Caenorhabditis elegans: one gene and its partners. The protein of the gene in region 2 interacts with the protein of the main gene of each other region in a pairwise test. Each region holds a gene or a part of one and is shown on either strand. Other genes may lie near its edges.

The links.
Region 1: the proteins of W03D8.8 (region 2) and unc-39 interact in a two-hybrid assay, tested with the Caenorhabditis elegans proteins (one large-scale study listed by BioGRID).
Region 3: the proteins of W03D8.8 (region 2) and C16B8.3 interact in a two-hybrid assay, tested with the Caenorhabditis elegans proteins (one large-scale study listed by BioGRID).
Region 4: the proteins of W03D8.8 (region 2) and cfim-2 interact in a two-hybrid assay, tested with the Caenorhabditis elegans proteins (one large-scale study listed by BioGRID).

What each region holds. Positions count from the first base shown.
Region 1 is NC_003283.11:14,369,895-14,377,847, reverse strand, and holds unc-39 (Homeobox protein unc-39), read right to left. Parts: upstream 4,775-7,953; 5' UTR 4,460-4,774; coding exon 4,157-4,459; intron 3,589-4,156; coding exon 3,459-3,588; intron 3,087-3,458; coding exon 2,737-3,086; intron 2,381-2,736; exon of another isoform or gene 2,360-2,380; intron 2,274-2,359; coding exon 2,049-2,273; 3' UTR 1,967-2,048; downstream 1-1,966. Other genes in the region: npr-43 (G-protein coupled receptors family 1 profile domain-containing protein), read left to right, coding at 1-55, 105-188, 237-411, 624-760, 808-1,040, 1,413-1,571, 1,622-1,709. UniProt on the Caenorhabditis elegans protein: Probable transcription factor required for differentiation and migration of neuronal cells, such as RID and CAN neurons. Specifically, plays a role in the terminal differentiation of RID peptidergic neurons. Also required for CAN neuron axon guidance.
Region 2 is NC_003279.8:2,788,328-2,796,656, reverse strand, and holds W03D8.8 (BAAT/acyl-CoA thioester hydrolase protein), read right to left. Parts: upstream 4,971-8,329; 5' UTR 4,969-4,970; coding exon 4,868-4,968; intron 4,676-4,867; coding exon 4,569-4,675; intron 4,526-4,568; coding exon 4,420-4,525; intron 4,317-4,419; coding exon 4,025-4,316; intron 3,980-4,024; coding exon 3,866-3,979; intron 2,645-3,865; coding exon 2,408-2,644; intron 2,363-2,407; coding exon 2,276-2,362; intron 2,011-2,275; coding exon 1,762-2,010; 3' UTR 1,681-1,761; downstream 1-1,680. Other genes in the region: W03D8.7 (BTB domain-containing protein), read right to left, coding at 1-159, 261-286; W03D8.1 (uncharacterized protein), read left to right, coding at 6,348-6,481, 6,528-6,659, 6,707-6,861, 6,908-6,972, 7,018-7,165, 7,445-7,887; W03D8.14 (uncharacterized protein), read left to right, coding at 8,239-8,329.
Region 3 is NC_003284.9:3,966,550-3,972,250, forward strand, and holds C16B8.3 (Annexin A7), read right to left. Parts: upstream 2,086-5,701; coding exon 1,591-2,085; downstream 1-1,590. Other genes in the region: C16B8.4 (Fibronectin type-III domain-containing protein), read right to left, coding at 4,117-4,313, 4,428-4,676, 5,051-5,292, 5,493-5,701.
Region 4 is NC_003282.8:8,922,648-8,931,972, reverse strand, and holds cfim-2 (RRM domain-containing protein), read right to left. Parts: upstream 5,646-9,325; 5' UTR 5,634-5,645; coding exon 5,548-5,633; intron 5,502-5,547; coding exon of another isoform or gene 5,496-5,501; coding exon 5,432-5,495; intron 5,382-5,431; coding exon 5,229-5,381; intron 5,185-5,228; coding exon 5,067-5,184; intron 5,019-5,066; coding exon 4,876-5,018; intron 4,832-4,875; exon of another isoform or gene 4,580-4,831; intron 4,518-4,579; coding exon 4,102-4,517; intron 4,056-4,101; coding exon 3,947-4,055; intron 3,891-3,946; coding exon 3,666-3,890; intron 3,151-3,665; coding exon 3,032-3,150; intron 2,987-3,031; coding exon 2,944-2,986; 3' UTR 2,873-2,943; intron 2,826-2,872; 3' UTR 2,720-2,825; intron 2,158-2,719; 3' UTR 1,925-2,157; intron 1,758-1,924; 3' UTR 1,732-1,757; coding exon of another isoform or gene 1,651-1,731; 3' UTR 1,627-1,650; downstream 1-1,626. Other genes in the region: slc-25A26 (Mitochondrial carrier protein PET8), read right to left, coding at 346-501, 549-912, 1,373-1,530; D1046.18 (uncharacterized protein), read right to left, coding at 1,651-1,731; D1046.2 (C2H2-type domain-containing protein), read left to right, coding at 5,914-5,985, 6,027-6,166, 6,215-6,344, 6,389-6,564, 6,614-6,731, 6,774-7,064, 7,121-7,405; D1046.16 (uncharacterized protein), read right to left, coding at 9,073-9,093.

The DNA of each region.
Region 1 (7,953 bases), on a different chromosome or scaffold from region 2:
TCAGGATATGATTCTTATTCTGTATGGAATACGGAATAGCTTTGCCATGTCATCGGTATGCAAAATTTAAAAGGAAATTTAATAATTTTTGATTTATTTTTCAGCCGATGCTAGTTTGCTACATCACATACATCCGATACAGAGTTGTCAACAATCCACTCAAATTTGCATCACATTATGGAAGATCGGTAGTGACACACATTTTGTTTTCAAATTTAAGGAATCATATTTTTTAGAGAAAATCAATATCTGCAAGCAAAATGAGCACAGCTGCTCAGCCATCTTCCACAGAGTCGGCAAAGTTCACAATTTCATTTCCAGCCGAAATGTTCTATGAATTTCACACCAGAAGCAATGCTGGAAAAAGAGGAGCAAATTTCAGAAGATTCTTCAGACCATTTCTAGTTCCAAGTATGTGAAAAGGGCAACAATTTGAAAGTTTCGGAAAAGGAATGAAAAGTGAATTATTCAAAAAGGAGAATCCCGAATTTTAGACCACTCTTCGTCATAATAACTAGTGTTGCATACTTAATTGATAGTTTAAAATACATTATTTTTGAAATAATTTCACAAAATTCACTAAAATTTCTGTTCTCTCTGAATATTGAACTTAATACTTTCAGTCCTTCTGGTAATCCTCTGCTTCGTCATTCATAGCACTTCCTACTTTGAATTCAACCTTATTACATGCTTTGATGAAGTTCATCAGACTGAATCAAAAATGCTCCAGATGACACAACTCAGAGGAGATTCTTATTGGGTACGTAACCATCTATTCACTCTATTCTATAAATCCCATTGTTTCAGTATTTTCAATTCAAAGTTGCCCTTACCATGACAACAGAGACATTGGGACCAATGCTTTTCATCTCCACGCTGTCATTGTTCACTGAATACAAAATGCATCAGAATGTCAAGGAACGGAGGAGGCTTTTTGAGAGTCAGAAGAGAAGTAGAAACACACTGGTGACGGAGGAATTGAAGGATAAAGCATCGAAGGCGTTAGCTGTGTTCATTGTTGTCAAATTTCTGATTTTGAGGTGAGTATAGGCTAGAACTTCAAACTTTTTTTGGCCACTCCAAGTTTGATCCCAAAAGTGGGAACTTGGTTCAAAAGGTGGCAAAGCTTTTGCAAGAGATGTAGAAACTGTGCGTTGTTTAGACCATACTCTATGTTTAACTCAAATATGATCCAACTATTTCCAATATTTTGTCCGAACTATTCTGTGTTGTTTAAACCTAGAAAGCATTGCCAAGAGTTGAATCAAGCCTGGGCTGAACTTGAAGTGCGGTCAAAAAACGTCATGCCAAGTGTTTACCTTGAGCAAGAAATCATCGCCAAATGCCAAGACAGTACTAATTATTTTGTTACATAACATAAAAACTTGGTAGCTCAAATTTTCAATTTTCAGATCCCTGCCAACATTGATTGATCTCTACGAGGTTCTCATTGAAAACAGTATAAACTTCGGCCCATTCATGACAAAAGTCACGCGAATCTCAGACTTCCTTGTCATTCTCAACTCGGCAACCAACACATTGGCCTATTTCGGCAAAGTTCGATTCGAAAAGTGAGTGTATCATTGAGCTCCGAGATTCTAAAAAATCCTCCGATTTTGAGGTGTTTCAGATGGCTGGAACGAAGGATTCGGTGTCGAATTGTGAAGAAGGAGGCGAAGGAGATTTTGAGCACTTCACTTACTGGATAGATTATATAGTATGCCAATATCCGACATCTACGAAGTTCTAATATATTTTGTTTCGGGGTTATTTGTGATCTTGCATTTTGTCTCTATTTATTTATGTCCGCAATATGTGCTACGGTTTTTTGTTTCAATAAATTTGTTTTTATTTTTTCAGTGTTTCAAAAAACCTTGCAAGAAACCTTGAAATTCTGATATTTTTCCAGATTCTTGAATTCAGATTTAAATATCAAAAAAAAAATTATAGCCTGGCAAACTTCTAAAAATAACAGTTTATTCTTTTTGCACTTTTAAAGCATTTCAAATATACAATGGGTAAATACTTTACTTTTATTTTAAAAAAAATTACGGATTGAAAGTGAATTGATCATTATCAGACTGACTGTCACGTAATGTACCATAGATCATGTTCATATTGAATGGAGCAGCTGCCAAGTTAAAGCTTTGCGGAGTTATTATTGGAAGAAAGTCACTGCCACCATTAGTGCTGCTCGAGCTGGAAGGTGGGGAGCATTTGGCTGAATTGTTCGATTTGTCCCGTTGGCGACGGTTTTTGAACCAATTTGAAATCTGAAAAATAAAATTGAAATTTGTTCGAGATTACTTTACCATGTACTAATTTACGCTCCGGCTTTTTCAGATCCTATTTTAGTTTGTTCTACCATAGAATCCTTGTAATCACACTAATCTTCTACTCGAAATTTGACAATAAAATGAAACAGATAATTTATGATCCTTACAATTTGACCTTGCAGATCTTATAAACAAATTCTTTCGGAGAAGCCGTCTGCTCAGTTGCGACTAGTCGGCAACTGTCTTTTCACGCATTCCTTTTTACAATCATTGTTGGAAAAATATAAGCAAACTCAACTCAGACAAGGATAGCACGCAAGCGTTTACGACTTGGCAGCTGGTAATAAGTACTGTACATAGTCAGTTAAAATGTGAAAAGTTTTACCCAGGGATTCTACTAACTTCTCCTTAATTTACTGACTAAATAAGCAATTTTGAAGTTAATATTTTTCTCACAAACCTGTACAATTTTGAGTCCTGTTGCTCTTGAAATCTCTCTTTTCTGCTCCTGGGTCGGATATTCAGAGACGTTGCGGAAAAATTGTTTCAAAAATTTCCTACTCGAATCCTTGAAACTGTACACAATCTCCTCACCATCCCAAATTGTTTTCGGAGCCGGAAACTTTCGTCTCAGCCGATATTTTTCCACTGGATTCAGTTCTTTGCCACGTTTCAGCTGACTTTCCTTGTACCTTGCATGATGCCAAATATCTTGTAGATCATTGTAATGACGCTGTTGAAAATGTCGATTCGAGAGAAGGTGGAAGAGTGTCTCGAATTCATTGGAATGATATAAGGCATATGTGTAGGCTGAAATTGGAGAATAGGGTTAGATGGAATGGCGGGTACTAAAAAGAGTCAACGCAATAAATGGTTTGGAATTTGAGAAGAGCAGGATATAACGCAATCGAATGAGGTATTATTCAAAATCGAGGAAATTGCGTTATTGATATAGAAGAACTAAAATACATAGCAATAGTGAGAGTGTTGACAGCAGATATTACCGCAGTTTTTCAAGTCGGAAGGATTACGGGAGCAACTTTTTCTGCTATAGGATATTTTTTAGAAATTTCTTATAGCAAAAAATGGATCAGTTTGAAGAAATGAGTCTTTGTAAAGTTCTATATCAGATACTTGCGGAACAAAGTATTTTCAAAAATATCACTATCTAATCAAACATACCTACGATGATAGCTTCACTTCGCAAATGATCTACTGCATTTGGTCCGTACAATGACTCCAACTGCTTGAAGAATGCTACCAATCGATCACCATCTCTAGCTTGAAACAGGGATGTGGAGATTGCTTCCATCTAAAATTGTTGGGAATAAATTTGAGTTTTTAGATGAAACTCAAGAATCATAAAAACTACAGTTGATCTATGTGCATGTTGAACATGTTTTTAAAAAAAGTTACTTTGAGACAGTTATGAATATTTAAGATTTCACAAGTTTTTGAATGTATTTTTGACTTTGTGAAATTTGCGGTAAGCCTGTTAGGTATACACATCTATCACCAAAAAAATTTGTGAAACACTAAACTTTCAAATTCAACGAAAATTTTGAGAACATTAAAAGCGAACAAGTCGGCTTGTGATATGGCTGGCAACCCGGAAGTTTTGTTTTTCAAGTGGTACTTTTTCGAGAATTCATTCCACGTTCTAGACTTTTTTATTAACAAAACACAGCTTCCAGTTATTACAACAAGTCAACTATCATGGAAACTGTCAAAAAACACCTGAAAAAAACACCGTATCGTCCAGAGCCAGGTTTCCAGCACTAAACTGTGACATTTCGAAATAGTTAGACTTCGAGTAGAAACCTTTTTTTCAAGTTCTGATATTTGATTTCCCTCGCTAAAAATTTAATACCACAACCAACCTGTTCCATTGAATATTCGGACATTGTGCACCCAAAAGCTGGAATAGTCGGTGAGCTGATTGAAGCAGATGCCACCGACGGAGAAGGAGTCGGAATTACAGAAGACGGTGTCAGAATATGAGACGAAAGCTCGTAGGGCGGACCTCCAGATGATGAAAATTGATCCGAGATGTGAGAAGGCGATGTTGAAGAGTTAGAGGTGTTTGAATTTGAAGATGAAGTGAATGTATATTGAAGTGGCAGCTGATGTTGTTGATAACAATCGAAATATGAAGAAGTGTCAATTGGCGGATGGTCTGTCATGAAATAAGGTGGAATACTACTCATCTTGCAAACGTTCCTAGAAGACCAAATGGGCGGGGCTAATCGAGCAATATTGTGTTGAGGGGTACGGTACAACAGTCCAAGAGGGGGAGGCACCTGTAGAGCTCTTTTGGGATGAGGTGGTGGGAGGGAAATTTGTGTTGAGGATTAATTATAGGCGAGAATAAAAGTGTCGAATTCGAGTAGCTTCTCGTTTGAAATAGGAGCCCTCACGTTGTTAGGAGGTGAGGATGGGCCTCTGCAGATATTAATTGGATGATGATTTCCGGACTGACTCCTGACAGTATGGCTGAGACCGGAACGAAATGACGAAGAGGCTGAAGTTTGAAAAAATAAGAAGAGCTGAAAAGAAGAAGAAGAAATATGGAAACAAAGTGCAGTCTCAGATTACCTTTCCTTTCATTGAGACTTTTGAATTTTTAAGCAGCCAGTTAATAGCTAAACATTCTCGTTTTGTCGTGGAATGAGGGGATGAACATTTTGAAAGAAACATGGGCTCAGATTACTGTAGTGAATAATAAGATACACATTTTTGGGAGAATAGTTTTGAAATTTTTGTGGGCGTAAATGAACTTGAAACTTGCTCGTATAGTTAGAAGAAATAAAACAGTGTTACTTGGAGAACTGAAATGTATTTTTTTCACTACAAAACTTAAACTGATCTCATAAGACCGAATTTTTATACGAATTCTTCAAAATTTCACAAAGTTTTAATCATTTTTAAAGTTCAAGTGGACTGCAATAAAATAGGTTTTAGCTATAATTTCTAATTTTCACAGCTTGTTGACAGTGACCGGAAATTATCTTTTATACAATTAATTCTATATCTTGCTTATTTTGGTTATTTATTTTGAGTTTTTGTTGTTTTTTTATAATGGCTAAGTGTGCACAAATTTTATTACCTTTCTTGCACCCACTTAATTTAACCGCTGCGACACGGACCAACTGGGAAAATTGAAAAGTTTTGAACCGTCAAAAAAAATTGCAGGAAGGTTTCAAGAGGTCTCATTAAGAAATTAATTTTTTATAGTATTTAATTGGGTAATAATTAATTTTTCGGTAGTTTTGAAGAATTTAGAGCAAATAGAAATATTGAAACTCTATTTTTATATTTATCAACATATGAACTTCGAGAAAGCCGGCTAAAAGAAATTCCAAGTGTTTTATTTATAGTTAGTGACTTCAATTAAAAAAGTACCCACGTAATCCAATTGATAATCATGTTCTCGTTTTTCATCACATCTGTCACCAATTTCTACAGTCCTCAACAATTGAACTGACGTGCTCTTTTCTCCTAGCAAAACATTGATTGACGAGCATACGGTAGTCGGTCAATAATGCAAAGAGGCGTATTCTTTATACCATTTGCTTTCATTAGTAGTGTACATCAACTATTCCTCTTTTGTAGATTTGATATTGGCTATTTATTGTCACCATATTTTACCTAATAAAATTACATCCCCATTGTTTTATTTTGACAGTTTATATTTCGGTTTTCTTTGGTTTTAGTTAAAACAAATTTTACTGGTAAAATGTAGAAAAAATTGTGACAAGTATTTTGTCAGTTGACAAATTTTTGATAAAACCAAAGTGAACCAAGATATAAAAATACGGGATATCAGATAAACTGATAATTACATTGTTTTTTCTAAACTTTTGTAACTTTATTTTTTGTCGTAAATTCGCAGTTGACTGTGGGTGGTACTTATGCTACATTCCCATTGTAAACTCTTTTTTTACATTTCAATTCATGCAGTATTAACTTGTATAATATGTTTTCTGATGTATCTATTATCAAAAAATGTCAACTGACGAATCATTTTTGAACATTTTAATTTATTTAGCTTTTTTAAAATTTAGTTATACCATCAATCTGCCCAATGAATTTGCTTCAGAGGTGAGCAGAACTATAGCCGGCGCATCGGAATAACTACGGAGTTTGGTTTTACGGATACTTGTCGTATTCGTTGCCTGTTTTTTAGCTGATTCGATAGTTTCGGCTTGTTCCAATATCTGAACATCGTTTTTTTAAAACCAAATTAAAACTCGAGAAATTACTTTTGAAAAACAGGGCGCTCGGTTTGCCATCCCTATTCAAGGCTTTTACAAAATTTGGTACTTTCAAACAAATGCAAAATGCTGATTAATATTGTTTGATGAATTATAAGGAACAATAATATCTATTGTTGCAAACAATACCTCGAATTATGGGGAATTTGCAAATCTGCTGCAATATTCGACACTCTTCAAATTTAGTGTCATAACCATATAAGTCATAAGTCACCAGACACCCACATACTCTATACAGCTGTTAGTTGAATACGTTCATTGTCTGTAATTAGATTCCAAAAACGGTCAATATCTGGTCATTTATAGCACCTCAATCGACTACCACGTGGCACATAATGTCTGGTTGCAGATGGAGAACAATTTGTACTTCCTGCGGATCCATCTGCTCTCGTCACCAATTTGGGGAGTTGGAGCAGCAGTCAACACCTTTCTTATCGAAACTGTAGATCAGATAACAATCGCAGGTGTTAAAAGTATATGATCTACTATTTAAATCTGAAATTATTGTAATCCTTCTGAAATTGGATACATTTTTTTAAACACGATTTGAAATTTATTTGTTCAAATGTTTCTCAATTGATTCGAGTTTTAAGCGTTCAAAATTTCTTGATAACGTTAATTTTTTTTTGAAAACTGAAAATTTACAATTTCAACTTGAGATTTTGAAAATTTTAGGAGGTTTAAGTTTATTAAATTACTTTTTATTCACATATGGGAAACCATTACCAATTGAACATATTGTAAAGGGACCATTATCTACAAAAATACCAAGTATGTGTTATTGGCAGCTGTGTTCTAAAATTTTCAGGAAAATGAAGACCCCCAAATCTGGAAAAACTGAATTTCTTTGTGTTTCTATTTTTGTCGCTCAGGCTTTTTTCAGTTTTAAAGATCCAGAAGCTCGTGATAAAGCTGAAACCCTAGAGTATACTCAGAATTAAAAAGATTTCCGACATTATACATAGTTACTTACAAGTTTTTGATTGATACAGAAGTTTCCAAAAAGCTTTCAGAATGTTTTCCTATCCTTAACCACTTGTTAAATTGTAAAAAACCTGCAAAATTATATTTTCTGTGCTATTTTACGGGCATTGAATGTAGTGAAAAAAAAACTATTGAATTCAGATCGTCTTTCCTTGCTCTTCTGAGGAAAGTTTTGTAGTGGCACAGTTTAAGAAGACTTCTTCCCATTTTTCATAGGTTGGAAGTCCATAAGTGAGCAGAAAAATGCTGAAACCTTTGTGATTTTTGATAACACATTTTTCGATTTATTCGGTATGACTTTACTGAATTTTTTTGAAAAACTATTAGAAGTAACTTTCCAACAAAAAATAATGCAATTCTGCTGCATAATGTTGCTCTTGGATTGTCTTCTTATGAACTTTCATATACTCCCCATCTAT
Region 2 (8,329 bases):
TCAATGCTCTCCACTGAATCTGCTCTTCCAACTGTGAACTCGGTCGTTGTGTCCTTCAAATGTTGACGGAAGAATTGAGATGCCAGGCAGACAATCTCCTTATTTGTCATCACGCAGTGCATGCCGTCAGATGTTTTCAGCTTCAAATCGTGGCGGGATCTGGAATTTATTTGGTAATATTTCGGAAAATATGAAATCTCGCTTAAAAAGTTAAAAACTAACTTATTAGTGGTCAGCACTTGGTGGTTTTTAATTCTTACCTTTCAAAGCTCATCCCATAGAGCATTTTGATCAGATGCTCGTCAGCGAATTTTGTGGAGCGAATAATCGCATCGCAGAGATGTGGACAAATCAGGTTCTTGATTGTGACCACTGTTTGAGGCTGTTTACTTTACAAAACTTTGAGTAAAGTTTCTGCAGTGGCAACGGGGATTCGGTATGTTCTACTTCTCCATATTCGGATTGTTCATCGGAACAATTCTCTAGATCATCATCATTCACTTGAGTCACTTGGGACGGCGGGACCTGTAAAAAGGTAGTTATGAATGGAAACTGATAAATTTGTTGCTGAAAATTGCCAAAAGTTACTTGGCAGATTGGACAAAAGCCGATGACAAAATTAATAAAGCTTTTTTTTCTGATATTCACATCCAAAAGTTGCAAAAAATTTTATACAGGGAGACCATTAATTATAGCAATATTTTTTGTGTTCTTCCTTACACACGTTTTTTAAAACATTTTATGTGAGTTCAACCATAAAGATCATTTTTGAATTTTGTTCACAGAAAGTTATGCAGGTCAAACCAAAAAAAAAAAAATCAAACCAAAAAAATCTCGACAATTTGGGCAAAAGCCGATTACAAAATTAAACAAGGGCGAAGTAGAGGGAGATTCACGCGAGGATTCAAAGGGAAGTAAAATACAAATATACGCGGGGAGATCAAGAAAGGTAGATCAAACCTATAATTGTGGGTAGATCAAATTATATTTATACTTTTTTGCGCACTCCTCACAGTGCCCACGCGTATTTTGATTTTCTAGTGAACTAAATATTTTCTGTAATTCAGAAAATTCATAAATTCATAAAACTCCTTTTTAGTCAAAAAAAATCCGAAATTCATATATTTTGTAAAAGTGGTTGGAAAATTTTATGGCTGTTAAAATACAGAAAATGATTCAATTTTTAAAACTAATTTTCTAACGCTTTTTAAGATAACTTTAATTGACCGCTATAATTAATGATCGCCCTTTAGTTTTCTTTGGCAACCACTGGTTGGCGCACAGCCCCGCTACATACCTTTTTGCAATCCTTGGCACTGAGTACGTCCGCGGAATCCATCGGTATTGGTGTAGTAGACATTTCAATTGAAGTGAGCAATAGAAGCAAGCTTAATAGTTGATTTTTGAGGATAAAAATTTTGAACTGATTATCGATTTATTATTCACAGTTATTTTTTAATGAGTTTGATCCCTTGGTATCATCCTCATTTCTTCAATTTCATCAACTATTATCCCCAAAAGTTAATCTACGGTGCTTTACAAATGATTCCACGTAAATAAAAATGAATGAAATTTCTCGCGTGAAGCTTGTGATATATCACCCCACTGAAAGAGCGCTTCTCACAACGTCGAAAATTCCTGAAACTATTTCTGACGAAGCAAGTGAAGAGATCTTTTGCTGCATAAAGAGTTTTAGTGGAAAGGTTCACAAAATGTTCAAGTTCATAATGTTCAGACAATGTTCAAAGAAGTTTCAAATTATCACAATTTGCTCTTTTTTCTCGGCGGCACCACAACCGTCAGTCGATCCCAATCCTGAATTTTCTTTGTATTTCCAAGAGCTTTTTGGAAGAATTTGATAGTATTGGACCATGTCTTCTCCTGTGATTTTGCGTGTAGAACCACTTCTCCACCATATCCACAATAGAATCCCTGGTATTTTGCGTAGACGAGTTCGTGATGTGGGAAGTATGGTGGCTCCATAATGTGTCCTCCATTCACTAGTTCAACCTGAAATTTTTTTCAGTTATCAGACTCGATTTTAAGATAAAATTAATAATATTATTAGAATAAAAAACCTCTGAGTTAATCGGATTATTTTCGGAATTTCGGTTGAAAAAAAAAACGTCTGATGGAACTTTGACTGTCTGGAGTTCTTTAATGCTTAACTATTATTTTTTCTGATAATTCTCTTATCAATTAATCATATTGCCACTCAGCTTCACCTGAATGGTGCCAGAGCTCAAAAATTGCTCCAAATTAAAAAAAAAAGTACCTCCACATCATGCCCGGTCTCCTTGAGTCTTCTCTGTCTGTAATACGTTGCATGCACCGATGGTTGACACAAATCATCCACGGATCCCTGAAGCTCACAAAATTTCCGCTGAACGTCAGCTCGAACACTTACAATTACACGAATTTTGACATCACTGGGGATTCGTTCCCATGGAATTTCAGTTTCTGGTGTCAATTTTTCTGTCATAATCTGGAAGTTTCTATGGGAACACATGACTCCATTAATGAATTGACAGTGCTCCAAAGTGACTTGGCCATGGGAGAGATGAGGAATTGGGGCACCGTTTTCTTGCATGAAGAGGTAGTCAGATACGACTTGGGGGCCATTGATGGAGACCAGGGCCTTGATCTGGAAATAGTTTATGGTTATTGTTTAAGGAGGATTGGCAAAGTATGAAAAAAAAAACAGTCTAGATCAAGGGTGCGCGGCAGTTGCAGTTCGGTTAATTTTTTTGTCGACAAATTCGGCAAATCGGCTGATTGCCGGTTTGCCGATTTGCCGGAAATTTTCATTCTCGTCATTTTTTAGAGGGATTTTTAATAAGACGGAATACTTATAACTGTGCCTTTTTGAAATTTTTATCTGTTTTCTTTAGATATTTTCATAGAAATTGCTTACTTTTCAAAATAGATGTAAGAACATTCACAAAATGCGTACAATTTTGTAGATAAAAATTGAAATTCTGAAATTTCCAAAAAAAAATTTTTTAAATTTTTTCCTGGTTTTTTGAAGCGAATTTTTCGTTTTCATTTCAAGTTCCAGATTTTACTAATTCTAAAAAAAAACTGTGTCATGGTATTGTAACAAGACAGAAATCATAGGAACTATCAAAAAAAATTGTTGCAAAACTTTTGCTTGTTCAAAAAACGCTCTCCTCCGCCCGACCCTCCCAAAATTTTACTTTTGGCAAAAAATCGGTGCTCCGTGTCACTTCCGCTTCACTTCCTCATAGGACTGTTTTGGAGCACAAATTATTGCACTTGCTCCAAAAATTTCTATGGCAGTCTAGTTGCAGACTATTTACACATACACGCTACCCCTGCACGTGCTTTCTATTAAATTTTAAACACTTTTTCGAAAGTATGTGCGGCAGACAGAATTTGAGACAGGGGTGGGCGGCAAACGATTTTTTTCCGGCAAATCGGCAATTTGCCGAAACTGAAATTTCCAGCAAATTGGCAATTTGATGGAATTGAAATTTTCAGGCAAATCGGCAAAGTGCCGGAATTGGAAATTTCCGGAAAGTCGGCAAATTGCCGGATTTGAAAATTTCCAGCAAATCAGCAAATTGCCGGAATTAGCAGTTTACGCAAATTGGCAAATCGGCGAATTACCAATTTGCCAAATTTGCCGGAAAAACGGCAATTGCCGAAACTTTCGGCAAATTGATATCCAACAAACGGCAAATCGGCAAACCGGTAAATTGCCGGAATTGAAAATTTCCGGCAAATCGGCAAACCGGAAAATTGCCAATTTGCCGAACAGCAATTGCCGTCCACCACTAATTTGAGCTGAAGTTCGTCAACTATCATTTAGCGCCATTCACCTAGAACAATAAATTCTGCCTACCTTATCGCCATGTCTTGTGGTGAGCAAGTCCACAATAGTTGCGCCAAACGAGACTCCCTGTATACCTATCACATTTTTTGTGAATGGTAGATCAATTAAGTAGTTGATTGCTTTCTGGAATTAGCTTTCTAATTTTAGTGCTCAAATTTTACAACTCACTGCAAAATACTCCATATCTACATCTTCCATTTTTTGCGGTAAATACTTGAACTGGAAAAAGGCAAGACATAATACAACGAATCCCTCTGAAGCTAACATAGCACCCTTATGCTCATGGATTCCTCCACCAGTTCCTGAAATATCAAGGACCACTGGGAAGGGACCATCACCGGGAGGTTTGAAGAGTGTCGCACAGAAATCTTCCTCTAACTCGGTTCGTATCAATTTTGGGTGCATCCAGTGCTTTTTGATGTAGGTAGAGTCGATAAGGGTTCCGGATGAATCAAAGAGTCTGAAATTTTGTATGTTTGCAGGGGTTTGTGTACATAGTCTTGTGGCGGAAATTTTTAAAGGAAGTGCAACTAGCAAAAGTTTAGAAAAAGTATAAAACTTACTCCAACAGATAATAAAACGGAACTGGCGGAGTACACCGAAGATATCCACCATATGCAAAATCCTCACATGGCTTCATTCCAAGGAACAACCCCATCGGATCAGCATCTAAATATCTGATTTAGAGTGACTCTAGGTATTGTGTACCTACCGTAATAAGATCCTCTAAGGGGCTTCGCATACTTCAAGTCGATTCTTCCAGCGGGGTCCGCTTGAAATGTTGCTTCCGATTTGTGAGTTCCATAGTCATGTTTCAAGCTGGAAAAGTCTAGGTTTAAAATTTTTAAGCCTCGATACCGCCCAGCATTTTCTAGGTGGCTGAAAAAAGAAAAACTCGGCCACCTCGGTCATTTTTTGGCCTTGTGCCTAAATAGCAATTACTAAACTACACAACACATCAATCATCAGTATCAAAAATTTTTGAACTTAAATAATGTACTGAAGTCTTACATCATTCGAAACGTGTAAATCTGATTCGATCGGAGCCCATCTGCCACGATATCGATGAGCTCATTTTGCATTGTGTCCGGTTTGTCCACATGAATCGGCATTGCTGAAAGTTTTTGGTTTTAGAAGGAACGAAACATAGTGAGTACAAATGGGTGAGGAGAGTACAAATCACTGTTATAGTTATCAAACACAGTTATCAATCACACGACTGGAGGGAGGCGGGTGGTTGAAAAGCTTCTTATCAATTCGTGAGAGTTTTAATTTTGACTTTGGTCAGAGAAAAATGAGCACTCTGGGGAGGTAGAAAAGAACGGTACTGCTTTTTTTGCGGCGATGAAGGGAAAAAGTTGGTGGCCGAGTTTTTTTTTCAATCCTCGGCCACCGCCCCACTTCAGTTTTGTAAGAGTGGACAAATTTTTCCTATCCACGGCCATGGTCATGGATCTGTGGGTGACCTTGGTTGAGGTTCATGCAGTTTGTCCGTCATTAACTAATTTTCGTTTAGAAGGGAAAAAAGTTGGTGGCCGAGTTTTCTTCCATTCTAGGCCACGTTATTGCTGATGACTTTGGTTCTGTAAGCCTAGTTTTCCCTATCCGCGGCTATGGCCATGATTCTGTAGAATTGTGGGTACCTATAAAAACCAGTGACATGGCCGAGGTTTGTGCACTCTCACTGTTGCTTCAAGTTGAGGATCACAAAAAAGATCCTTTAAAAATTGGTGGCCGAGTATTATCTCTTCGAGGTCACGTTGAAAAAACGCAGAGAAAAGAACAGAAAAAAAATGTTTTTTGGCCTACATTTTGTCGGCTGCTAAGTTTTATTAATGACGCCATTTAGGTTTGTTATGAGGGTCGGGGTGTAATTTAGGGGCGACAATAAAAGGTAGGCATGTAGGTAGGTCCATAGGCACTCAGGAATATATGCAACAGGGGTGCGCCGCAATTGCCGTTCGGCAAGCAAATTTTCGGCATTGCCGAAAATTTTGAAAACCGGCAATCGCCGGAATTGCCGATTAATATGCCGGAAATATAAATTTGAAGCTTTTTATAGATTTAGGAGGCTAAACATGCATTTTAATGAATAATTATCTATTTTCAAGCTCCAAATTATTTAATCCTTTTGACCGTTTTTTTTTGAATAATGGCTAACCGAATACTAAAAAATAAGGTTAACTTTGTTCAATTTCCAAAATATAATAAGGTTTGAAAATTGCGGGAAATGTCCAGCAATCAATTTCGGCAATTGCCGAAATCGCCTATTGCCGGAAACTTCCAAAACCGGCAATTGTCAAAATTGCCAATTGCCGGACATTTCCGATTGTGGCCCCAAAAAAGTCCCAGCCCTGGTTGGCATGTAGAACCTGAAATATTCGCGTAAACCTTACACGTCTCAAAAATCCCCGTTTATTCTTTCCCGCTAGCTATTTATATTCCAAGAATCCCTAACAATTTCAATCATTTCTACAATTTCTCCTCTCAAATGGTTTTGATGGGAAAATTAATCAATTTTCTACTCTTGCTTCTGTTGGCTCGTGGAGCAGCTACTGTGGACTTCTTGAAGCTGACGGACGCTGAAAATGCCGAACGACTAGAAAAGTGTGGAAGTGTAGAATTGTGAGTTCGGCCTGCCTGCCTGCCTACCTACCTTCTTCGTTTCCAGATCGAGTTATTATTATTCATACACCACCGGAAGAGAGAAACACGTTGTTGTTTTTGTATCTCAAAATAATTTTATCGCCGAAGCTGATCTTATTAATGAAACTTTGTTCAAGAGAATGAATTGCACGTCGGAGTAAGTGGAAGCCTGTAGGCAGGCATGTAGGCAAGTAATTTTTCCAGTATGAAGAGTATAAATAACGTGCTCGAAATGGAGAAAATGGCCGATTATCCTGCAGAACTTCTCGGTGAATGCGAATCGCATTCGAATGGAATGGTTCTAGGGGAAATGTTCAAGGCAACAAAGTCGAAGAATAACTTCTATATGTGCCTCAAATGTAAGCATGTGCCTACCTACGTGCCTATAAGGTCTTACTCTTTCAGATGATCGATTAGATGACGGTGCCTTGGTTAATACTATTTACAATAAGACGTTGTACCCCGGAAATGTAGGTTTTCTTCATTTTTTTCGTTTAGAATTCCAAATTCCACAGATTGTCCAATGCAAAGATATAAAACCCGGCACCTTCTGCCTGCAAACTTACGAAAAAGTGATGGGAATGGTTTTTTTCTCGGATCAAGATGATAAAAATCGTACTTATGTTATGGGACGGACCTATGAGAAGCTGAAAACCAATAAAGGTATTTTTGGGCTCTACGGGATCAGCGTAGGCGCTAAAACGCCTGCCTGCCTTTTTTTACATTGAGGCACGCCTTAAAACCATGCCTGCCTTCCAGAGAAGGCCTACTTGTCCCTACGAAACTGACTTTAAAAGTAACTGGAGCAGGCGACATCATACGAGGCCCGCGATAGACCTTTCCCAGCGGTAGGCAGCTGAGGCGTTTAGCAGGCGACATCCTACCTTCACCTACATGCCTACCTGTCCATGCCTTTCTCAACAATAACCCTACATTTTTCAGATGGCACTGCAATAATGAAGGGCATGTACCTGAATCAATTCTCTGATCAAATTTGTAAGGCTAGTGGGATTTGTGAACCTCCGACCACTACTACTTCCACGACAACAGAGCCTACCACCGCTACTGATCCTACAACCACCACCACCACCACTGAAGCAACAACTGTAACTTCTACAACAACTCCAGCTGAAACTACAACTGCTATGAAATCTACGAAGGAGCAAGTGTTGACGACTACAAGAAAGGCGCTCGAGACTACTAAGAAGCCTGAGAAGCCTGAGAAGCCTGAAAAGCCTGAGAGGCCTGAGAAGCCTGAAGCACTACCCCAAGCGCAAGATTCGTATTGTGGAAATGTGTACCTGTGCTTTGATGAGGATGTTTTTGGATTTGCGAGTAATGGGAATGTTCTTGTGGTTTTTGGTTTAATATGCCTCATGATATAAGAATAAAAAATTTTATTTTCCACTGTCTTCCACGCTTTTAGACCTATAGAGATTACCGATGGTTGGTACTGAGATTTGCGTCAAGTTGCCTTATGGCTTTTCATATCGTTAAAGCTTTCCTGGTTTCAGGCTGAAAATTTCAGCTCAAAGCTTTTAGAATTCAGTATGCCGGAGGGCTTTCCATCTGATCAATTGTGAGGTCAGGCCATCATTAGCCTGAAATCTTGTGGGCTGGAATGTCCCTTTCCTAGCAATTGTTCCATCCGTGAACTTTGGTTTTTTTTTAAGATAAGAACAACCTCTGCATTATATATACTTTCCCAGATATTCTTTATTTTATAACAGCACACAATGGCCTCAATCATACGATTCAATATACTGCTTCTCTTGCTTCCATTTGCATTTTGTTCAACTACTACAACAGAGGAGCCGGATGGTTCAA
Region 3 (5,701 bases), on a different chromosome or scaffold from region 2:
AATGTTACTTGAAGAGTTCATCAAGTAGGTGACACCGTCTCACGGTTTGAGATTTTTTGAAAAAAAAAACGCTATTTTTAGATTCTTGAACGTATTATAGATTCTTGAAATGAAATTGAGTAGAAGTGAATAGAATAAGCATTGAAACGAAAAGACAGGAACAAGGTAGACTAACTCATTAGACGTCGACGGGTCAGTCAAGGCGGGCCGGTGAGTTTCTTCATTCATCCTAAGGTTCCGCACGCTCACTTTCACCTACAACTGGCCCGTTTCAAACAATTGAAACCGCGTAGTTCCCCGTCCGAACTGGAATAAACTGCGCAATACTTATTGGCACGGCTTTCCCGAAACACCGGTTAGATGCTTTTTGACCGACCGAAAATTAAAGCGAACAGTGCTTTTGACGCTCTATTATATTCTTTGTTTTATTGTTCGGCGAGTTAATGGGTTCCAGGGTTTCTTGGATGGGTTCCAGTAAGAATCAAATAACAATATTCGTTCAATTGGCGTTCCACAAACTAGAGTACATTGAACAAAACTAACTTTAAGAATTAGATCTAACATGGAGGAAAAAGAAAATGCCAGTCATCACTCCCTAGTTTACTACAGGCAGGGGACACTAAAAAGGATTACTGTGATGCGCAGAAATACTAACATTTCCATAGAAACCTAGTAACTAGGTGAATCAGTATTTCAATATTGATTAAAGGAAATAATTCCGTTCACATTTTTTAAACCTTGTTTCTGTAAAACGCGTGCTAAACCATTAACTCAGTTAGATAAAAAAGTTTCGATAAAATATTCTCCTCTTGAAACATTATATGTGCCTTCCAAAGAACATTAGCAGTGAACAGTTTTTTGTGCTACCTGAAAATTTACTAATTTCCATACTTCTAACGTTTGTATAACTAATTCTGAAACTGATAAAACTCTGTTAACAAGTTTAGTTGCAACAAGTTTTTCAATTAAAATGTGGTTACGAAGTAATTAAAAATTAATACCGGTTAGTCACTTTCTGACCGATGACAATTAATGCAGACATGCTTATGACTCTTTGCTATATTTTTTGTTTTACTCTTAATGGGTTCCAGAGTTGCTTTGATGGGTTCCAGTAATAATCAAATAATACTCGTTGAATTAGCGTCCGACTTACTGGAGATCATAGAATTCATTTGATTTTCACAGAAATCACTTGAAGATTTATGTTTAATATTGTGACATCGAATCGAATATTTCCTAGACCTATAGTATCGAACTGTTATATCAAACCACAATCAGAACTAATTTAGACAAGTTGATTATGTGTCCAATATTGCATCTATTGGAACAATAGGATTTATGAAAGTTAACAATAAATGTTGAATGCATAAATAGACAAATCAAGTAAAATTATTCTAAAGGTAATTTTCAAACATTTCCACGTGCCACTGACACTCAAACCAACCAATAGTTGTTGGAGTATTTCTTAAAATTTTTGAAAAGAACATTGAACAGTTTTAACATTTATTTGGCAATTCAAACAGCAAGAAAAAACATGGTATATTAAATTGATTAGTAGTACAAAAGGTATACAAAAGCTTACATATTAACTCAATATGGTCTTGGATATCCTGGATACTGTCCGGGTGGAGGTGGAGGATATTGCCCTGTTGGTGGTGGTGGGTACATACCGGCTGGCGTGGCTCCGGTTCCAATTTGATATGGCTGCTGTTGTGGATAGCCTGGTGTGCTTGAGTATCCTGGGTTGCTTGGATACATGTTAGTTTGATAGGGTTGCTGTGGAAGTGGAGGTGGTTGTTGGTTGTACGCCGAGTATCCTTGGGTTGGGAGTGGTGGGGCTTGTTGGACATATCCACTAGGATTCACTCCAGCACCGATTCCCATAGGTGGTGGGGGTGCATATGTGGCTCCGTAAGGTCTTGGTGGCGGTGGAGCATATCCAACTCCGGCGCCAACTGGTGGTGGAGGGGCTCCATATGGAAGAGGCATAATTGGAGTAACACCGAAGCCAACTGGGGAACGATAAGAACCGTCACTAGAGGAAGAACTTGAGGAGGAAGAACTGCACGTGCGACGGCCGTACATCTGAAGAAAAAGTGTAAGTTGAGGGGTTTAAAAGGGAAAAAAATCAAACAGAAAGGTTGAAAAACGATCGATTGTGAGTTGTTAGTTTGCGATCCGCCTATTGCCTCAAAAACGAGAAGGTTTCACAATGTGATACGGTTATCAGTTTGCATTGTCAGAAGAAGTTTCTCGTTTTTCCATAGAGAAGAGCAAACAATGACGTATATGGAAACGAATGAACAAAAAAGAAACGAGGGCGTTTTCAGTGTATATTTTGAAACTTTCTTTGCAATCCATGAGTCATGAGGATAGATCATGGACATGACCTTCTGGATGATTCAATGGGAAGGAAGATTACATTCATTTGAATTTATAATAGGAATAATATCGAAATGTCAAACTGGAATGCCAATCAAATACAAACGTCAAAAAAATTATCAGGAAGAATGGAAAAGATCAGGGCAATATTTTAAAATTCAAAACTTTTTCTTGAATTAAGCCAGTCTGCTCTCCGTCGGTCTTGTTGTAAGTTAAATCCAAGCTTCGCTCGACTTTTCAGGAAAGACTGGCTGTAGTCTGGAGGTAAGAAATGCTGACCTTAAGTTTGACCGCGACAACCATCCAGACTGAGCCATCCGGACAACTTTCAACCCTATTGGGTCTGTAAGTTTCTTTTACAATTTTAACAGACTTTTGAAACTCAATTACGATTTAATTTTGTTTTTCAACTTCAATGAATTTTATTGTGTATTAGTTCTTGAATCCGTGTAATTTTAATAACTATTTCAGTCCGTTTTGCAAACCAGAAAGGCCGATCAATACACTTCCTAGCTAAGATTTTCTGCGCCTATGCATTTCGCACCTGTTCTATTCCGAACATGTTTGCGGATCAGTTCTCTGACCACCTAGTGTCTTCACATGATTTTGACATTGGAAACATGTGGCCGAATGGTCTAGTGGTATGATTCTCGCTTTGGGTGCGAGAGGTCCCGGGTTCAATCCCCGGTTCGGCCCATTCCTTTTACTCTTTTAAGCATTTTCAGCATGTAACTTTGAAAACTTGTATTTTGATCGAATCGTGAGACACATTCAGTAAAATTATGGGGAATTGTAAGAAAAGGCTTTGAATATTTTTTTATGTATTATTAATGTATTTGATCGCGGAATACATTCATATTTACATCATCTTCTACGAGTTTAACAATTTGTGAAAATTATAATAATTATGAAAAGTAATTTGAATTATATTAAAACAATTTCTCACGATTAGCAATTTTGATTGTTAGAAATCCTATTCCTAACCAAAACTTTCGAAAAAGTCATACTCTGCATTTTCAAGGTCAATGCTTACTGCGTTCAGAGTTTTCTTGTTTAGTAGAGACGCAGATAGACTTGTTTATTGGTTTGTGACTAGTCGACCACACGCAGAGCGCTATTCACGAGAGCGTGCATGTGTAGGAAGAGGCGTTCACGACGAGACGTGGCCGGATGGTCTAGTGGTATGATTCTCGCTTAGGGTGCGAGAGGTCCCGGGATCGATCCCCGGTCCGGCCCACTTACTTTTTTCCTTGTAGCGAATGGTTATATGCTTTTGATGTATTATGCATATGGTTATTTCAGGAAAACTACAATACATATCAGCTCGAAACGTGGCCGGATGGTCTAGTGGTATGATTCTCGCTTAGGGTGCGAGAGGTCCCGGGATCGATCCCCGGTTCGGCCCGCTTAATTTTTTGATGTATTTTGTTAAGTGTTTTTATGATTGTTTGGAATTATAAAAATTTAGTTGATATTTGCGAATCTGAATAAAAAATCAATACAATTTTAATAATCATTTTTGAATCTCTCATGACAAACTTTATAGAAAACAATTCTCTATTTACAAAACCGGAAAAGCAACACAAGGTATAAAAAATGAACACTTAAATATTAAAATAGCATAATGAATTAAACCCGAGATAACATGTAACAAAGTTTAACTTTGGTTCAACGAAATACCCATAAATAATGAGAATGTGACTGCTAAGCTCTACTAAAACCTGGAACTAAAAATCAGGCGTAATCTGTGAGTTTAGCCTTGTTCTCAGAAACTTTCACAGGACATTTGTTGCAGCATCTGCAGACAGCAAAACAAAGTACAGCAAAGATGAGAAAAGTGAACGAAACTCCGACGGCGATGATTTTCAGTGAAGAATTTATCAACTTTTCTTGCATTACAGCAATCCTCGTCTCAGCAAACGCTTCTCGGCCTGAAATGCAATAGTTTGAGTAGGACAAACGATGAACGTTATTGCATATTGCGTAACGAAAAAAAGGGATTTACAATATACAAGTCAATAAATAAAAGTTAGCCTAGAACGTACCAATTGCGTCATAGTTGGTGATGCGGAACATAAACTCGCAATGAACGTTGCGTGGGAGAGGCATCTCATAACTTGTGGACGGGGCAGGTAGGTATACTGTCGTTGGGTCCTTATTGCAAGGGCCAAGGTATGCTTGGTAGGTTATTGCATAGGTTAGAATGTTTTCTGGTTCAGCCGATGCGGTCCAGGTTATCATTGCGGTAGAGTTGGGTTGGATTGCCACTCGGATATTGGAGACAGATTCGGGGGCTGAAAATTTAGTTTTTCATTTAAATTAAGAATTGCACAACACAACACACAATTCAAAGAAAAATAACCGATAATTGTAGTTTATAAGCTGGTAGGTGTTAGAAATATGAGAAAGTGGCTTAAATTACTGCAAATTTGTCGATTTCCGTCAATCAAATACATTTTTACAAGCTGCTCATAAATTTTGCGTTTGGTTTAATAAACGTTCAGTCCAAAAAAAATAAACTATGGAAATTTAATTTCCGCGTAAAATCATATGTTTGTGAAATTCAAGTTTAGCTTTCAGTTCCAATTTTTCGGACATTTCCATATTTCGCCCATTTTAAATTACATATTTTTAAGTCTTATATGCTTTTTTTTGTCTCAATACTCACCACATTGAAGGCTTCCTTTCCCATAAACCTGCTTGCATTGAAACGAGTTGAACCTCACTGAAATCGGTGTTGTCGCAGTGTTCTGATCCGACGAGAGAGCAGAAAAAGTGACTGCGTAGGACGAGTCAAACTCCAGATGAGACAAAAGAATTGAATATGTGGGGTCCACTCGAATATCCGTCACAACCGAATTCGTCGCGTTTTTGACTTGTAGCCGGAAATAACAACTGTCGTATGCGGTTCTGCAATAGGATTAATTAGTGTGTAGCAGTTATAAAAAATATGGGGGGGGGGGGGCCTTGAATCGACCCGTATATTATCCCAAGCTGTCATGATGCTCAAAGAGCTTTGCCGGTCTCCAGAACCACTTGATCTCGGCTAATTACCACCGTTCATTATCTTAGCGGCGTTGGCTTTTATAAATAAAGAAAACAGTGCGTACCTCGGGAAATGGAGATGTGCAACAACCCCCTGTTCAGAATTAAATCCATTTTTAACAATTAGCGGTGATCCGGGAGACTTGACAACTAAAGTACTAGAAATCTCAGTCCACTCGCTTTGAATTGTATCTCCAAGCTTTCCGGCGGGTCCAACAACAGTGATAAGGAATTTGTATTGAACTCCAGGAATCATTCCGTCAACTTTTATCAT
Region 4 (9,325 bases), on a different chromosome or scaffold from region 2:
ATTTTTGATTATCGGCAAATTGCCGATTTGCCGTTTGCCAAACATCAATTTGCCTGCCTTTTTAAAAAATGTTCCGTTTTTTCTAGATATTTTCGTAGAATTTTCTTATTTTTCAAAATAGATTTAAGAACATTCATAGGATGCGTACAATTTTGCCGATTAAAATTGAAATTCTGAAATTTCCAAAAAGAATGTACAAACCACAATTTGCCGAAAATCTTCGGTAAATGTCGTTTTTCCGCCAAAATTGGCAAATCGGCAAATTAATATAGGCAACTTAATATGTACACAACTGAAATTGGCAATAAATTTGATTCTTTCAACTGTTTTATTCTTCAGACTCACCTCTTTTAATGTGCTCAAAATACCAGGAGCTGGACCGTTTTTTGTGAGCATGATACGTGTCTTTGCCACGTCTAATGGTGTCGTTAAACCAGCTGCAATAAATCCAGCTACACTTCCACAAGCAGCTCCTTCCAATGGACTACAACGACCTGATTCCTGAAATATTTTGTGATTGTAGATTAAGATATTTAAAAAAAACTAACTTTTTTATTTGCCACTGCCCTCTTCAAAGCTTCCCAAATAGGAAACTGGATAATTGAAAAAGGAATTTCTCGAGCCACAGTGCTACCGTATCCTCGATAGAATCCACGTATTCCTTTAGTTTCCATTATTTCTTTGCATATTAACGTCAGTCGTTCATTTTTATTAACTTGTCCTCTTTGCTTACAAAGCTCTGTTGGTACTCTTACAGCACATGCTGCAATTTCAGCCAAACTTGCAGAAACAGCATCCACAAGAGCATTTCTTTCTTCAATTACTTGTTTCATTTGTCCATTAATGTATTTGTAAGTGAGGAAGAAAATGGCAGCTCCGGGTGCTGAGCCAACTAATACTGAGATCATTCCCCTGAAATAGAGAATCTAATCTACAGCTATTATGCAGAAAACTCAGAAAAATGCCGCTTTTGAAATCGGCGCTCCGGCCACGAGCTATGGGTCTCGTTAGGTATTCGGCGGCAAAACCGTGAATCAAACGTTTTCGATGAGTTTCACCGATTTTTGACTTTTAAAAGCTTTTTGGTTATGTTTCCAGATATGTTTAATGAGGTTTATGCCAAAATTGATTAAAAAAAGAAAATTACTTGAAAATTGGTGAAATTGGCAAAACTACTTTAAAACGTTTGGATTTACAGATTTGCCGCCAAATACCTAACGAGACCCTAGGTTCGGGGGCGGAGCGTTTTGTTTCCATTTCGAAAGTTTATTTTCTGCGTCCTCATTTATCTGAATTTTTGAATTTAATTTTGGGTTAAGCTCTCAAATGTCCGAAAACCAACTAATTATATCCATTTTTTCCAAGTATTCACCTATAAATATCTTTAAAACCTCCAGCTGCAATGAATCCTTGTTTAGATTGCATTCTTGATTTAATTGTATCCAATGGATATAATCCAATATCAACTGCTAAACCAGCTGTCGCCCCACACACGAGCCATCGTACCACCGATCCTTCTTCTGATGGCATCCTAAATTACTCCATATTTAAAATATCCAATTCATTCTAGAGGTACTACATCAGTCGACAAATTCGACTTCATGGGAAAGGAAGCAATGAAAACACATTTCTTATTTGCAATTTATTAAATTAAACAAAACTTTTAAAGACAACGTTTATAAAAGATAATCCAATAGTGAGCACTGATGAGAAAATGTGTACACGAATCATTGTTGAGTTGGAAGATAGCCAGTATTCTGAAATATGAACATAAGTTTTTTTTATTTTGCTTGAAACACATTCTGAAAGCAATGATTTCAACCATGTAAATGCGAGGATCAGGAAAAATAAAAGGAAGCACTCACGAAAATGAGACCAGGGATTTTGGATAAGTGAATAAATACAATAAAAAATATTGGCTTACCAATTAAATTCTTATTGAAGAATTGAAACGGGATTCACAACACAATTGTCAACAAATTCAATGAATTTTCATCGAATGTGCTCGAATTACAATTAATCATTTAAAATGTTTGGAAATTTTAGAAAACAAAATGTGAATTTCAGATCAAGAAAAAATTTCTGTTGAGAGGATTTTGCGGGGATTTTTTTTGACGATTCCGATTTGAACTCGATGCCACGTGGATGCTGCTGGACCTGTTGGAAAATACAATTGAAATGAGATAAAAAAATACAATAGAAAATATCAGCTATGCTTATTTCTTCACATTATCACTGACATTACAATTAATGCCTAAAACTTTTAAATTTTTTGACAAAAAGGATTAACAAATAATTTTCAAATTATCATTTCAGCTGAAACCTATCAAATTTCAAGACGTAAGTGAATAAACAAAACTACATTTAAAGGACAAAATATAGAATTAAACACATAGGAAGCTTAAATGATAAAAACAACTAACACCATTAAAAATCTATTTCAATCAAAAAAAATATCAATTTCACATTATAGAATCAATGCTTACCCAAACCCAAGCTTATTTTAAATGAAAATATTACAATTTTAATGTGCTCTCAATAAATACTAGCAAAATGTTACAAATTTCATAGCATACTTTTTTCGAAATACTCCCGATACAACTGAAATTTCGAAATGACCCAATACTTGAGGAGTTACATTCAAAACGATTTTAAATAGAACAATGAAAGGTAATTGAAAGAACAAATCTGAAAATCAATTAAAAAGTCAAAAACTTACAATTTTAGAGTACAAGTGAGCAGATCCCGTATGCAAGTGAGAATAAATCGAAATCGACCAGTGAACATTGAGAATGAAATTTAGAGATTATATAACATTTTTGGATCTGAAAAATTGAAAATTGTTTTGTGCAAAAGCAAGCATCGGCATTACCAAATTGTTGAAAAAGTGAAAATTGAAGAGTAAAATAGAAATAATCTTGAATTTGAAGAAAGTCGTGTTATTTAATAACGACGACGGCGTGGAGATGGTGACCGCGAGTATGAGCTAAAAAAATATTTTTTCAAAAAAAATTGTTGCTCCAAAACGAACCGTGAGCGAGTGCGACTGCGTCTTCTTCTTTTGCGATCTCTTTCGCGACTTCTTGAACGATCACGATGTGATTTTGAACGAGACGAATATCCTTTTGATTCAAGGCCTTTGAGTGTGTGCTGGAAAATATATAATTATGAAAAAAAATTGCGATTTACTTTGTATTTCTGTAAAGGTGGAGTATGGTCGTTGTGAAATTTTGTATCAAATGAAAGAAAAAAGCCATAATGACCATATTGAGATAACTGTTTAAAAACTTAATTAAATTTCTGAATTTTTGATGGTTTTTTTTTTCAAATTTGCATAAATGTTTAGATTCATCGGTTTTTCTTGATTTTTTCTTTGATATTTGATTTGAAACACCGTTTTTTTTAGATTTATAAATTAAATTTTAAATCACTGATATGTTAGCAAAAAAGTTTTGTTTCAGTAAATTTATTTCTTATCAATTAAGTTTTTCTTACAGAGACATAACTAATAAATTGACAAACGATGAAAAATTTTTTATCGAGTTTTTTATCGAAAAATCATAAAAAATCGAACATTTTTTAACGGTCATTAAGGTCCATTTTCTATCATTTAAACTTCAATGGAAATTAGAGTTTTGCTCAAGAAGGATTTTTTTTAAACGTACTTCCAATCCATAAACCAATTGTCTGCATCTTTCATCATGTCCAATTCGACTGTTTTTAATCAATTGAATTGCTGTCAATATAGTCTCAGATGCTCCTTTAATATCTCCAACAGATGCATCAGTTATTGCTCGAGCTATAGCTGACGATGATACAGTTTGATTTCTTGTCATTACATCTTCGAACTCAGCGTCAGATAAAACTGTTCCTTGAAGTCCGGGGAACATCTGAAAATAATAAAATTATCATTCAAAATTATTTTTAGTTTTCAAAAAACCATTACCTGTGGATTGACATGGACTGGTGGAAGACCGTTGATAGGAGGACGCATAGCTGTATTCATTTGCATAAGTGGCTGAACACCCATTGAACCAAGTTGTGGTGGTCTAGAACTATTTGGAAATGAAAAAGAATGATAGAGGATTATTATACGATTACCTATTCTGGAATTGATTATTCATTGGAGGTGGTGCATTCATTCCCATCATTGGTTGTATTCCCATTGATGTTTGCATCATTGGTCGAACTTGTTGTCCCATCATCATTTGAGGTTGTTGTTGAATTTGTTGATTCATTCCACCTAATGGTCCATTTCCTAACATTGTTTGTTGTGGCACAGGAGCACGGTTCATTAATGGAACTTGTTGTCCGTTGATTTGTAATCGCATTTGAGGAGCTTGATTTAGATTGCTTGGCAGAGATGTAGGTTGGCTCATCAAAGGAGTTGGTCGAACTTGCTGCATCATGAGAGGTGGAGGTCCAGATCTACCAGAGACACTTGTTCCAGTTCGACCAGTTTGCCCTCCAGCTCCAATACGAATAGTTCCCATATTGACACATCCTTCTTCGAAACCCTGCCAAATTAAAAATGTTCATAATTAGTATAACTTTTCGAAAACTTTATTAAAAAGTGATAAATTGTTCGGATGAACTTTTAACGCACACCCTTCAGAAGGTGGACGCCGGTAAGACTCCGAATCAATATTGCACCTGCTACCAGCTCATGATCATAAAGACAAAACACCGCTGAGTTTCTAGGCGCGGGCGGGAATCGATCACGCGGACTGCTGACTGACAGCCAACTGCGCAACCGACTGCGCTTCCCTCGACGACCACAAGTACCAAGTGGAAAACGTTTATATCGGTGCGCCGTGGAGTAGCAGAGAGTCACAGCACTAATTTCAACGATAGTGTTATATTCTCTTTTTTTACCTTTTTCTTGACGTCTGGACGGGTCTGATTTTTTGCTTGCGCATCTTCCAGCTTTGCCTGATTCGTTTTATTGTACGACAAAACAGTTGGACTTTGGCCATGGATAGTTTTAGTTGGGAGAATCTCCATAGTTTGTTTTACCGCTGCAATGAAATAAAGTTTTTAGAAATATCTTGTTAGTTTCTACTAACCAGCATCAGAATTCAAAACCAATAAAGCATATCCCTTGCTTTGTCCATTCGTTCTGTTCTCGAAAAACTTCATGTCAGCGAATTGAGATCGTGCAAGGCCGGTGGATTGAAGAGCTTTCTGGACAAAATTTATTGAAGACATTCAGTTTTACAGTCACTTACCAATAAATCAGCATCTGTAGTATACCAGAGAAGGTTTCCCACGTAGCAGCAATATTTTCTTCCTTCCGAAGACGTCGCTGGTTTTGCACCAATTCCAGCAGTTGGAGCAGTCACAGTGGTGATTGTTGGTGAAACAGGTTTTGCTGATTCCGTCTAAAATAAAGAATTATAAGGATTTAATAAGAATTCATTAGAAAACTCACTGAATTTGTGGGTGCAATCGCTTCATCGTACAGATCGTCAATATCTTCTTCCTTGAGCTCTTTTCTGGATCAAAAAATAAATTTTTAGCATTTTCTTTTTTCATTAAAGTATTTACCCATCCAGCAACGCATTCTCGTCTATGGGACCATCATGTTGTTCGTTACCGTCACCTAACAACGCTGCTTCGTCCAATTCAGCCATCAATCCTCAAACAAACAACGGTTACATGAATTTTAAGAGAGAAAATTAAAAAGTCAAAATTCAATTGTCTTCTAACAGAATAAGTGAACAATTATTTAATTAATCGATAAAATCAAAAAATATTTATTAACGCAACATGGGTGGGGCGTGCACGCTAAACAACAAGCGTGTCTGTTCAACGGAGTGTCGTTTGCAAATGTCGATTTACGAAAAAAAAAATTGATTTTGAAAAACATTTTTTTAAAAATATTTTTGAAGTTAAGCTTTTACAGTTTTCATCATGAATGACGGATATAAGCAAAACGATATAGTAAATCATGAAGCTTATGAAGAACTTGAAGTCGCAGAAGAGGTAACTCATTCTCCCATTTCAAATTAAATATTTATTTTCAGCAAATAATTTACTGTCAGGAGGAGTACAACGATGGTCCGGGTACTATGGTTCAAGTTCAAGAACAGACAGATGTGCCATGTTATGTTATGGAAGGAACTTATTTTACACCTGAAAATATATATGCTGCTAATCAAGACCAGTAAGTAAATCAATTAGCCGAATCCGCAAAGATTTGAAAATTTTGCAGTTCGGTGTGTCATTTCTGTAAAGAAGATCTCACAAATAAACGATTTTACAATCATTTATTTGATCATCATGGCTTCACGAAGCAGCAATGTGAAATGATGAAACAGCAAAAACGACTCGGGAGACCAAATGTATATTTCAATTATCTAAATTTGAAAATCAAGTTAATTTTCAGCCGAAGCGAAAATCGTTGCATTCTTGTGAAAATTGTGGAATGGAGTTTATCACAAAGACAGGATTAACGAGCCATTTAAAAAAAGATAATAGCCCGTGTGCGCGTGTTGACGAAATGGCTGTTGGAGGATCGTCTGTGAGCAATATCGTTTGTCCAAGTTATGGATGTGATAAAAAGTATTGACTTTTATAAAAAAGAAACATATTCAGTCTCTAAATATTTTAGTGTTCCTACATATTTGGATCTGGCGATTCACGTCGACACCGAACATCGAGATCTTTCGAGGGCAACTGATTCATTCCGAATTCGAAGAGTGACTTTCCAAGATAAAGCTGGATTTATGGTATGTATTATTTGATTATTTGCAACTATTTAACATTTTCAGAAGTGGAAAAAGCAAATGGAAAAATCGACGAATTCGGAGTTTTTCCTTAGGACTTCGCAAAAAGTATCATTTGCTATTCGGACAATGCTCTATAAATGCCTGTTTTCAAATTCTCGAGGGCAATCGAAAGGCAGAAGATGTGAGCAGTGTCCTGCATTTATTAAATGTTGTATGAGAAATCATGGGCAATACGAAGTTGTCGCCTGTTTCGGGCATCTTGGACATGAACACCCAACTGAAACCGAGATTGCTAGACAGATGAGAATCGAGAAATATCGAGAGATTGACGCAGTGAGTTTTCATTTTATAAAAAGTACGAGATTACTTATACCAGTATCAATTTTCAGCTTCAAGTACGAGAATCTCGAATGCATAATCAACATCACATGAATGTTCGCCCAAAGCAAATAATTGTTGATCAATACGGACACCCTACTCACCCAAACGATGAAATGATGATTCTGATGCCGGTAGGAGAAGAAGTCGTTGAAGAAGATGCATTCACAAGCGTCGTAGTAGATGACGCTGATGATGAGATAGTAGGGCCACGTGCTCAACAGGAAACACCAGCTTTAACAAGACAAGTCTATATTCCAACTTCAAATCATCACGCGAGCTCTTCTCATTACTAGACAATGATACCTGTTATAGTTTCTTTTTGATTGTAAAAAACAGTTAATTATATCAAGAATTTCTCCATTTCCTAAACAAATTTCATACTTAAATTGTCGATTGTGATTAAAGGTTCAGGTTCTCACGAATAGGAAATTCCTCCATTTTTCTGTTCTCTACACTCCTTTATATCGTCGTTTTTTTCTATTCATCGGGTCCAATGTAGGTTTTCAATCTCCGTCTGCCCACCAGATGTTCAAAATGTGTTTCTGCTTCCTGAGATTCTTCACATTTATTCTGTTGTAATTGTTCTGTTTCAAATATTTTTTTTTTTGAAATCTACAGGTTTTAATTTTTAAATGTTGATTTAATTTTTATCTAAGAGTTACAACAAAAATATTAACTCGAATGAAATTTTTTATATTTGACCAAATTTTTTAATACCGATATTTAGGAGTTCATCCACATATTATTGATTTTAAAAATACTCGAGCAAAAGCCTTTTGAGAAACAGTGCAATTTTTTTCTACTCAATGACGCGGTTCTCTCTCTCATCATATTTTCTTGTTATCTCATTTCCACAACCCATCTTTCTTTTTCGGACAGTAGTTATTGTGTGCATGTGTTCTCCATGTTCAAATCGTCGGCTGTTCTGTGTTCTAATCTTCAAAAATGTCGTCGCCGCTCCTTTGTTTGTCGAGCCAGCCCAACCGCCACCGAGCAATAATGCGTGTGTTCGAGTGAGCATGCTCATGCAAAACGGCTCTCTCCGCTTTTCCGTCATTTTTTCAGTGTCACCTTGTTGGCAGAGATTCATGAGACATTTTCATTTTTTGAAACCAACGTGGAAATTGGATGCGGGGGCAGCCGGTTTAGAAAATTCATTAAAATAATTTTTACTGGTTCTAATTTTTCATTTAATTGGGAATTCAGATATAAAAATTATTTTAATTTCTGATTTAAAAAAAATTTTCAACTACAGTAACTGCTGCATCGAAAAGTACTACTGCTGGCGCATTCGGCGTGAGTTGGCGCGTTTGCCGATTGTTTTCATTTTGAAATTAGTTTTTTCCTCGAAATATTTTTTTCTCTTTAAAAAATGCAGTTTTCCCATGATTATTTCTAAAAAGAATTGCTCATTTTCCCTTCTCACAAATTCTGTTCGCATTTGATAGGCATTTCTCACGGAATGGCACGAAATTTCGCCGGAATTACCATCGTGCGCTCTTATTTTTATGTGTTAGCCCTCGGCTTTTCCCTTTTTCCGATATTTTCTATTTTTGTTAGTCTGAACTTGATAATATTAACTTTTTCTATTTATTTTTGGCACTTTTCACGTTTTGAGGATTAATCCCAAAAGGAAACTCCAACACGCATCCCCGGTCTCCATAAATAGCATCGAGGATTTAGCCAAAAATGTCAGATTGACACGTGCGTTTTCTGTAGACTAGAATGTCAAAATTGAGTTCTTAATCTCTGGTGCAAATTTCTTTATCTTTGTTGTAAATGCTGAGCCTATTTGCCAGTTATTCTTTTTCAAAGCCAGAAGAAAACGTTTAGGATTTGTTACGAAGTAGATGAGAAATATGACAAAGTAGATGCTTGTGTGCGCGAAATGTTTGCATCCAGTAGTAGCCCGTCGGACCTGTCACTTTCATCGGTCATTTTGAAAAGTAATTGGCTGTTTCTATTTCTCCTGTTCTTGTGTCTGAAATGTTTTGAAAAAAATCAGCAATCTTTTTTGTACTTCTCATTTCTCAGTTTTCATTAGAAGTTAGAATAAGAAACGTTTTCCAATTTTGGCAAAGTTAAAATTATGTGAAGACACCGGTTCAAAATCTTCACTTTTTTCTCCATGATAATGAAAATTTAGAAAGCTTTGAGCATGGGATAACTTATGACCGTGTCAAGAATTTTCCTGAACTTAATTCCCCATTTTC